Tribolium castaneum: one gene and its partner. The protein of the gene in region 1 interacts with the protein of each later gene in a biochemical or structural test. Links are inferred from orthologs where the notes say so. Each region holds a gene or a part of one and is shown in the gene's direction. Other genes may lie near its edges. The genes, in order: synaptosomal-associated protein 25 and cpx.

What was found.
Region 2: the proteins of synaptosomal-associated protein 25 (region 1) and cpx are reported together in a solved structure, tested with the Homo sapiens proteins (2 studies listed by BioGRID, with this or other methods). The link is inferred for Tribolium castaneum from reciprocal best matches to the Homo sapiens genes SNAP25 and CPLX1.

Annotation. Positions count from the first base shown.
Region 1 is NC_087396.1:11,304,972-11,309,599, forward strand, and holds part of synaptosomal-associated protein 25, read left to right. Parts: intron 1-306; coding exon of another isoform or gene 307-355; intron 356-726; coding exon 727-775; intron 776-1,068; coding exon 1,069-1,117; intron 1,118-2,343; coding exon 2,344-2,461; intron 2,462-2,522; coding exon 2,523-2,796; intron 2,797-3,439; coding exon of another isoform or gene 3,440-3,502; exon of another isoform or gene 3,503-3,719; coding exon 3,720-3,785; 3' UTR 3,786-4,628.
Region 2 is NC_087395.1:18,246,931-18,250,758, forward strand, and holds part of cpx (complexin), read left to right. Parts: intron 1-2,491; coding exon 2,492-2,652; intron 2,653-3,828. UniProt on the Homo sapiens protein: Positively regulates a late step in exocytosis of various cytoplasmic vesicles, such as synaptic vesicles and other secretory vesicles.

The DNA of each region.
Region 1 (4,628 bases):
AACAGAAATGAATTGTAGAAGTTTTGCGTGTTCATTTAATTTTTTTATTTTATGGTTATACAGTAAGGTGATCCTGTTGAAACCCTCATGTGTCGCGACTCGCGCGCCTCTATCATAGCTTATCGTACATCCTCCTCCAGCTTGCCGGGCTACCCATTCCACTCGCTCTCTAACTTCCTCTCTATAAATCTCTTCTCTATCTCTTCGAACTGAACAAATAATATACTGAGTGCTTATCTGTAGCGGGCGTGTACCACTTAACATCTATACTAACAAACAGTGTACACTTGTTTTGTGCTGCTGTAGAGCAAGGAGGCTGGAATCCGAACCTTGGTCGCTCTTGATGACCAGGGAGGTGAGTCTCTCTCCACTCACTCTATCATACTTAACCCAAATATCATTTAACCCAAGATCCGTCATTGTGACTCAAATTTTTGTGTATACCTCATCATATTCACGCACGGCTGTGACTTAAGTCACGAGCTGTGGCGCCATCCATCATCATTTTAAATGTGATGTATTTTACATGGATACAGACTGATATACATTTTGCATTCCCACACGTTTTGCATGCTATGGTGGCTTTAGCTTGTCTTACTGCTTTCACTACTTGTGTGTTATTCTGCTTCATTCCACATCTTTTTTGATATTTATCTGGGTGTTGTGGTTTAGTGGTGTGCTGTGTATTGTCGTGTAAGTATGCTACTAGCCACTGTGATGTTGTAGAGTACCGATGCCGGCGCCAAGACTATGGAAATGCTCCACCATCAAGGCGGTAAGCACTCGAAGTGTCCAGGTGTTGATTAACCATTGCTTTATTGGGGATTTAATTGCAATGCGCTCTTTCTCGCAAAGACCGTGTTGAGTTTGTTTTCATTTTTTACACCTGTGGTGGGCTAACAGGTCTCTGTTTGGTGGATTAACTTATCTATAGGTGTCGAAGGGACTAACAACGCCAGTCGGGCTAACACATTAGCTTGTGTTCGCCCAACTGACTCACTTATTTAACGGGGAGAACATGGTGAGAACGGACGCAGGTTACCAAGCTGATTGTCTTGATGTTTGTAGAGCCACGAGGTCGGGATGAAAACCCTGGTCATGCTGGATGAACAGGGCGGTAAGCATACTATCTAGTCTCGCTGTGTCTCTCTTTATATTCCAATTCACCCACAATTAACTGAACAATTCTCACTCCTTAGATCCGAACCACACGACATTCTCAGTTGAACTTTTGCCCTCCCAATCTTACCTGACGATACAGATTTATGACACAGTCTCTTAGTTGTGCAGGGCGAGAGGATTACAAAAAAGCCGGTAGTTAATAATTGAAGGCCGTTAATTAAATGCTCGATTTCAATAGGAGTTTGTGTTTGATTTATGCTCGAAGAAGTTTCTAACTTCCTCTCCAGGCATACATTTTCGCTTGAACTACTTCCTAAATTGTCCAGAGGGTTATTGGATTGGATTTGGACGCATTATTGAACTTTACTAAGAATATTTTTTATTTATTGTTTGCTAAAAACCCGACATCCTCGGGAAATATTTTAGTGAATAATTAAGGAGCATTTTTTATTTAAAAAAAATGTCAATACGGTGTTTAATTTATTTATTGTTCTCGTACTGTTTGTTTTTTATGAAATATGTGGAATTCTAAAATATTTATCGCACGGAGGCGCTTAAAAATCGAACGACAGCAGCCAGCCGGGCGTAAAATAAAACGATTCGAGGGACGGATAAGTAAGGAAATGTGTACCCAAATCGTCCTGCACAACTTTCCCATATCCTCCTAAAACTGAAACGTGTCCAAAACAAATCAATGAAGTACAGTCAGCAGTTGAAATGCTTTCGTCTCTTAAAATTTACCTACATTATAAAAATTTTACTCGAATGTCTCGAAACGAAAGCACTTCAGCGTGAACCTTCATCAATAAAAATAACGTTGTAATGGATAATATAATACATGATTCAAAGACAACAACATACATGAAGGATTAACACTGTCGAAGTAAGTTAACACTAACTCACATAACCGTTAAACGTGTATATTTCACACTGTCAGTTCTCTTATTATATTTCCCAGCTCAGGTCGTTCTTATAAACATCTCGAGTAGCATGAATTTTACTGAATACTAGTCTGCTTACTAAAACATCTAGAACTGTAGTGCATTAACCGAGTCCCTGACCTGGATTCGGGGATTCCCGAGTAGAATAGTGGCATGTGCATGCGGTTTGTTCCAACTCTGACACACACATCAAACGCATACACATTTCAAACTATAGCGAGTTAATGTGCTAAATCGCCTCGGACTCGTCCAAATGCTTATTGAAGTCGATATTGCGCAGAGCAACTGGACCGTATCGAGGATGGCATGGACCAAATCAACGCCGATATGCGAGAAGCCGAAAAGAACCTCACGGGGATGGAAAAATGTTGCGGACTGTGCGTTTTACCATGTCAGAAGTGAGTCCTTCAGGCGATCTAGATTTGTATACGACACGAGATTTGTTTTATTTTATCGCAGAGGGTCGTCGTTTAAAGAGGACGAAGGCACTTGGAAGGGTAACGACGACGGAAAAGTCGTGAATAATCAGCCGCAGAGAATGATGGACGATCGCAACGGTCTTGGGCCGCAGGGAGGATACATCGGACGTATCACAAACGACGCACGCGAGGAAGAAATGGAAGAAAACATGGGACAGGTTAATACCATGATCGGAAATTTGCGCAACATGGCCATCGACATGGGCTCAGAGTTGGAGAATCAAAACAGACAGGTCGATCGTATCAATCTCAAGGTAACTACGGCCGATTTTTACAAGTTTTCGTTCGATATTGTGCTAGCACTGGATTTTATCTTAATTTAATTAAACGCTAACGGTGGTAAGTATGTTAGTTACGAACTTGGAGGGGGGGTTTCTCAAATAAGAAGCACTGAACCAGTAATTTGGAAACGGCAACATGTCCACAAATATAAGTTTTCAACATAATCAAATACTAATTTTGCTAAAAGGGTTTCAAACACTATACAAATGATAATTAAAATAAGGCCGCTTGCAAAGAGAAGGAAATCACAGAAAAAAGGGCATGTTTTCTTTTCCAAATGACCCATTTAATGGTTGTTTGTTTTACTAGACAAATAAAAATGAAATTTTTGTGGTTGTGAGTTTGAGCAGCCTCGCCTGGCGCGTCGAGCTTTTTGAACCAGTGGGGTGTTTATTTGCGAGCACTGGAGCGTTAAATGCACTCTTTGATTGGTTTCTAAATATTTTCGTTTTATTTTTTTCAAAAAGCTTCTGCCGATTTGCGCTAGCATTTACGAATAATTTTCTGATGGATTTGCTTGTGAATTTTAATAATCTTGGTGTTGTTTGTTTACATTGCCGTTCACTTCACGACACTACATCTACTCGTACATTACCTACTAATGGTCCGAATCAGGGCGAGTCCAATGCAACAAGGATAGAGGTGGCCAATCAGCGTGCCCACGATCTCCTCAAGTAGACACACAACACAAAAACACTAATATTTTTACAGACTTTGATTGCAAGCCTGATCCGTTCCTGTTATTTTTCTACAATTGGAGAAACTTTAAGAAACGAAATTAACCGTTTTTGGTTGTTTTGACGCAATTTGCGCTTGTTTTATTAGTGTGGGGCCGGATCAGGTTGGGCTGTAGTTTTTTGTGATGGGGCACACTGGTTATATGTTTGTTGGTTAGGGTGAAAGCAACGAAACGCGCATTGCAGTGGCAAACCAGCGTGCCAACAAACTCCTCAAGTCCTAAGGGGAGTGGGACACAAGTCGCCTTTTATACTCTTCTATCAATTCTCAATGTTATGGCTTAGTGTTACTAGTTTACGAGTATTACTATAACATCATTATAATGTAATAGTTAATATTTAAAAAGTCATGGCCGGTTATTGCTGCATCCAGTAGAGCTAGCCGTTTAATATCTCGATTTTTCTAAATTAATTTAGCGATATGATGCAATGAATTACGTTCCTAATTATGCTCATTTCGTACACTTGTGAACGCTTAACATACACGTATTAGCTCTTTGTGAAACTGTCTAGTTAGGATGAAGCACAAAATTTGCACTCTTCTTGGATTAAATCCCAGTTCATGCAGGAAAAAACGGATGTTACTTATGCGATTTTCTCAAGGTGTGGTGCTAATTGCCGGCGCTTACTTAGCTCTAGTACATAACTTGTACCAAGTATTCATATACCTACTAAATGTGATGTGAGTTTTTTTGGAAGATTGAAGTTGTTGAGTCCACATTGTACATAAGGTTGTCGCTGTAACTGTATATATTGTTGGTATATGCACTAGAATCACAAGGAACTTGCCCTGTCGGTTAGCTCAGTTTCGAAACTATCAAAAATTGATTTGTTGGGGGCGAGTTCAGAACGAATTGTTTTTGTTGATGTTTGGAACAGTTTATAAAAAATTGTTAGGGGAACAGGACCGGAAGCCTGAAAGGCATGCAGCCTTTTTTTCTAGTTAAAATGCAATCACTGTGATTAGTCATATCCAAATTGTTCCCAAACGGGTGTGAATATTTTTGTCCTGACATCTTCCATTATTTAAAAGTTTCTGTTTTTAATTATGTACAGTATTTAAGTTT
Region 2 (3,828 bases), on another chromosome or scaffold:
GTAATTACTTTTAAGTATTTTATCGCACCTTTATTTCATATGCTTAGAGTACGAAATTTTGAACTTTAATGAATATGGAAATATGATATTGACACGGAATTTTATGGATATATATTTAGAGCGCTGTATTTCTATATTCGACAGTTAAAATAAAAAAAAAATTGAAATTACTTAGCAAAAAAGTCGTAACTACAAAAAATATTTCTTAAAGAAACTTAAACAAATGAGAGCTAGATATTAGCATAATAAATTACCGAAAATGCAATAAAAAGAACTTATACAATGCTTATACACGGTCTTGTACATATAGGGTGCTAATATGTATGGATACAGCCACATTTTTTTATTAAAATGTGTTCTTTTTCAATTAAAAGTGTTATTTTTTTCTATAACAGATGTTAAACTATTACTTTATCGACTTTTTTGAGTAGATAAAATAGCACTTAACTGCAAATGTAGATAAAATATTTTAAATTTTTTTATTCAATTAAATTTACAAATTCCAACATCTGAATTTAAAAAATTTGTAAGGTTACCAATAACTTTTTTTTCTTAAACTTGCTCTTGCTATAGAAAAAATATTGTATTATACACGACGATAAAGTTGTCCACTCGTGACTTCATCACTCTTGATCTTAACCTTTTCACTCGTAGATAAACAATCCCTTTATTGTCTTAGGGTCGGTTTCACCGTTGTAGAATAAATCCAGAGAAACGATTGTTATAATCATAGCAACGATTATTTTTAACTATTTATTAAATTTAACCAACGCTGATGAAACCGACCCTTATGCAATAAATAACTATTAACAGTTATTATTACCTTTTACTTATTTTTGGGTCAAAATTCAGCCGGCAACTGGCTTACATTCGATAAAGATAAAAATTCTAAAGCTAGAAAAATTTTATTAGTTCGATAATTTTTTTTAATAAGGTATGTACGTGTTCACAGAACTCAGAAAAAAAAGGTTCTTAAAAATATAAAATTTGAACTTTCTTGCCATTTAAAAAAAATCAAGTTAGTCTTGTATCCACAAAACACATGGAGATTAAAATTTTATAAACATCTGAGACGACAGAACTAAAATGATTACTTTTAAGCACATACCAAAACTCATTTAGTTTTGTTGAATAATTTTTATAATATTTGACTGTATCCATTCATGTTTAACCATGGGGTTGAACAGAATTTTTGGGAAAAATTAGAGCAAGAATTTTCCGTAAAAGTTGCAAGCATTTCCGCGGCATCAGCGAATGCCAGCAAAATGTCTTAAGTGGGTCACCTGACCAGCGACAACTAAGCAATAACAATAATGTGTTTAAAATTTAAATGGACAAATTATTATTGAAATTAACATTGTTTTAGAGTAACTGTTCTAGTTTGTAAGTAAATTTAGTGTATATTCAAATTATTTTTGTAATAAAATCAGTATGAACTTAATTCCGAGTTCTACTCATTCACAAATACAATATAGACATTTTTATTTTTGGGACAAATTGTACCAAACAATTAAACAATTGTCCGGCAATATCTTTTTAAATGTTTTCAAGAGTTCTTGTTTTTTTCCAAGAATACACCATTCGGTCTGTTTTTGTGAGCGAGTTATTTGAAGTTGTAGTTTTTTTTTAATTTTAAAGTAAAAAATGTAATTCGATAGATTCTTTATCCAATCCACTCCTAATTTTAGCTTTTTCACACTATACGTTAGCCATGTCGCGTAAATACAGGCTAAAAGCTTAATTTTTGTTAATTTGTACTGCCTGAGCTGAAAGTTATATTTTCTATTTTCTTATAGCATAGAGTTACATGCCCTAAGTCCTGAAAAAAATTTGAAAAATGGAACACCTCACGTTTCCGAAATATTTAATTAATAATACTTATCTAAATACTTATTTTGTACCTCGATTTTTTTTTGTATCAAATATCAAATATGTGGTTCGTAGAAATGTTAATTACAAGTACTTACTACACATTAAGATTGTATTATTTGGACTATTTAACATAATTTGAGTTCTTTATTAGGTTTCTCATTTATTTATACAATTTCTTGAGATACGAGTTTCTTGCCAATAAGTAATTTAGTGAAATCTCTTTAAATTTAACTATGCGTTTTCCCGTGTTAAAATTTTAAAAACGTCTACAAAAGTAGTGTGACTAACTGCTAATGCGCTTAGCAGGGCAGTTTATACATATACTTTTGTGTAAATTTATGTAAATTTTAGAATCCAAAGAATTACTTCAATTATTATCCCATTTTAAATCCACAACAAAAAAAACCTCCTTCGTCGCAAAATACATTAAATATAAACCCAACCGTGTATTTTGAAAGAAACCGTACATGGTACTAGGATTATTTTGCAAATTTGGGATCAGGTTGCATTATTCCTGGAATGGCTATCCAGGAGGTAGTGAATTTTGCGCATAAACTCGGCCTTTGTGCATGAAGTGTATCTTGACTGGAGCATTGTGGCAATGATTCGTCGGTTTCAGGAGCGGTCGGTGGCGATGACGACGGCGACGACAAAGAAAAGGAGGAGGAGGCCGAGCGGGAGCGGCTGGAAGCCATCCGCGAGGCTGAGGAGCGACGAAAGGAAAAACACAGGAAAATGGAGGAAGAAAGGGAAAAGATGAGACAAGAAATCAGGGACAAGGTCAGTGCAAACGATCGATTTTTCGAATTGTCGTGATTTATATCAAATGACACACGATTAATCAACGCCCGGTGTATTGTACGCGTGAGTTAACGAGCCGTGAGGAGTCGCATGATGTATCTGCGGTTGTCACGTCTGACCCCTTCATAATTCCATAATGGGAATTATCGAAATGTCAACTCGATCGACATCGATCCGGAGGAAAAAACGCGCCGGCCTTGGCCCGGAACGAGAATAACTCCGGTTTAAATGTTAGCCGGGCACGCCCGGAATGCGATTCCTTATCGCAATTTTTGAGCAGTTAAACGGCGTGCCGCCGACGCTACCATTATTGACAGTCTATTTGTTCGGTTATAATACGCGTAATCAGCTTTGTGTCGTGATTATTGCAAATTGCTTAATGTGCCTGAAGAGGAACAAGTCGCAAATTAATTAATCGATTTGTAAACTAATTCGAGTTTTGATTCTAGACCGGCGCATCCACCATTTTACATATTAGCGTACTTTGCACTTTATATTACCCGACATACATTACAGTTGCTTTCCTTGAGCGCTATGCAGCGGAATACAGTCCAAAAATGCAACTTGTATGCCGGCTTTTTCTGTTGTAATATCAGTTGTTTACCAAAACTTTAACAAACAAAAAGTGTGATACGGAAGAGGGGAACAAACAAAAAGGAATAATACAAAAATTTTCTTTTATAAATATTAGACCAGAAGTTTCGGATCGACTATTGTCAAGTTCTCAACTCTTGGAAGTTATAATTTTGTGCAAGAAAATCTATTTTAATGCACTTTTCGCGAAAAACTCCGTCTATTTGCATTACTCGGATTAGTTTACATATTAAAGTTTATCATGGAATTGAGAGTGTTTATTTTTAAAAATAGAACCCAAGCACTTTCCATTTACATATTGCGAAAGTTTGTTCCTTATGTAACTGTACGTATAGTCACGAGCGTAGAGAATGACACCCTTGTGAACTGGGCTGAGCTTAAATCGCAACCACAAATAATAATTTAGACTTTATTATTTTATTTTGTTTCGAATATTATAAAAAATACTTGGTGGCTGTTAGTGGAAATATAGGTCGTAAAAAATGATTCTTCTTAATTTGCAACGTTTCGACAACAGCCGTTATTCTTAGCTCCACGTTTTGAACCGATACTTTTGAATCA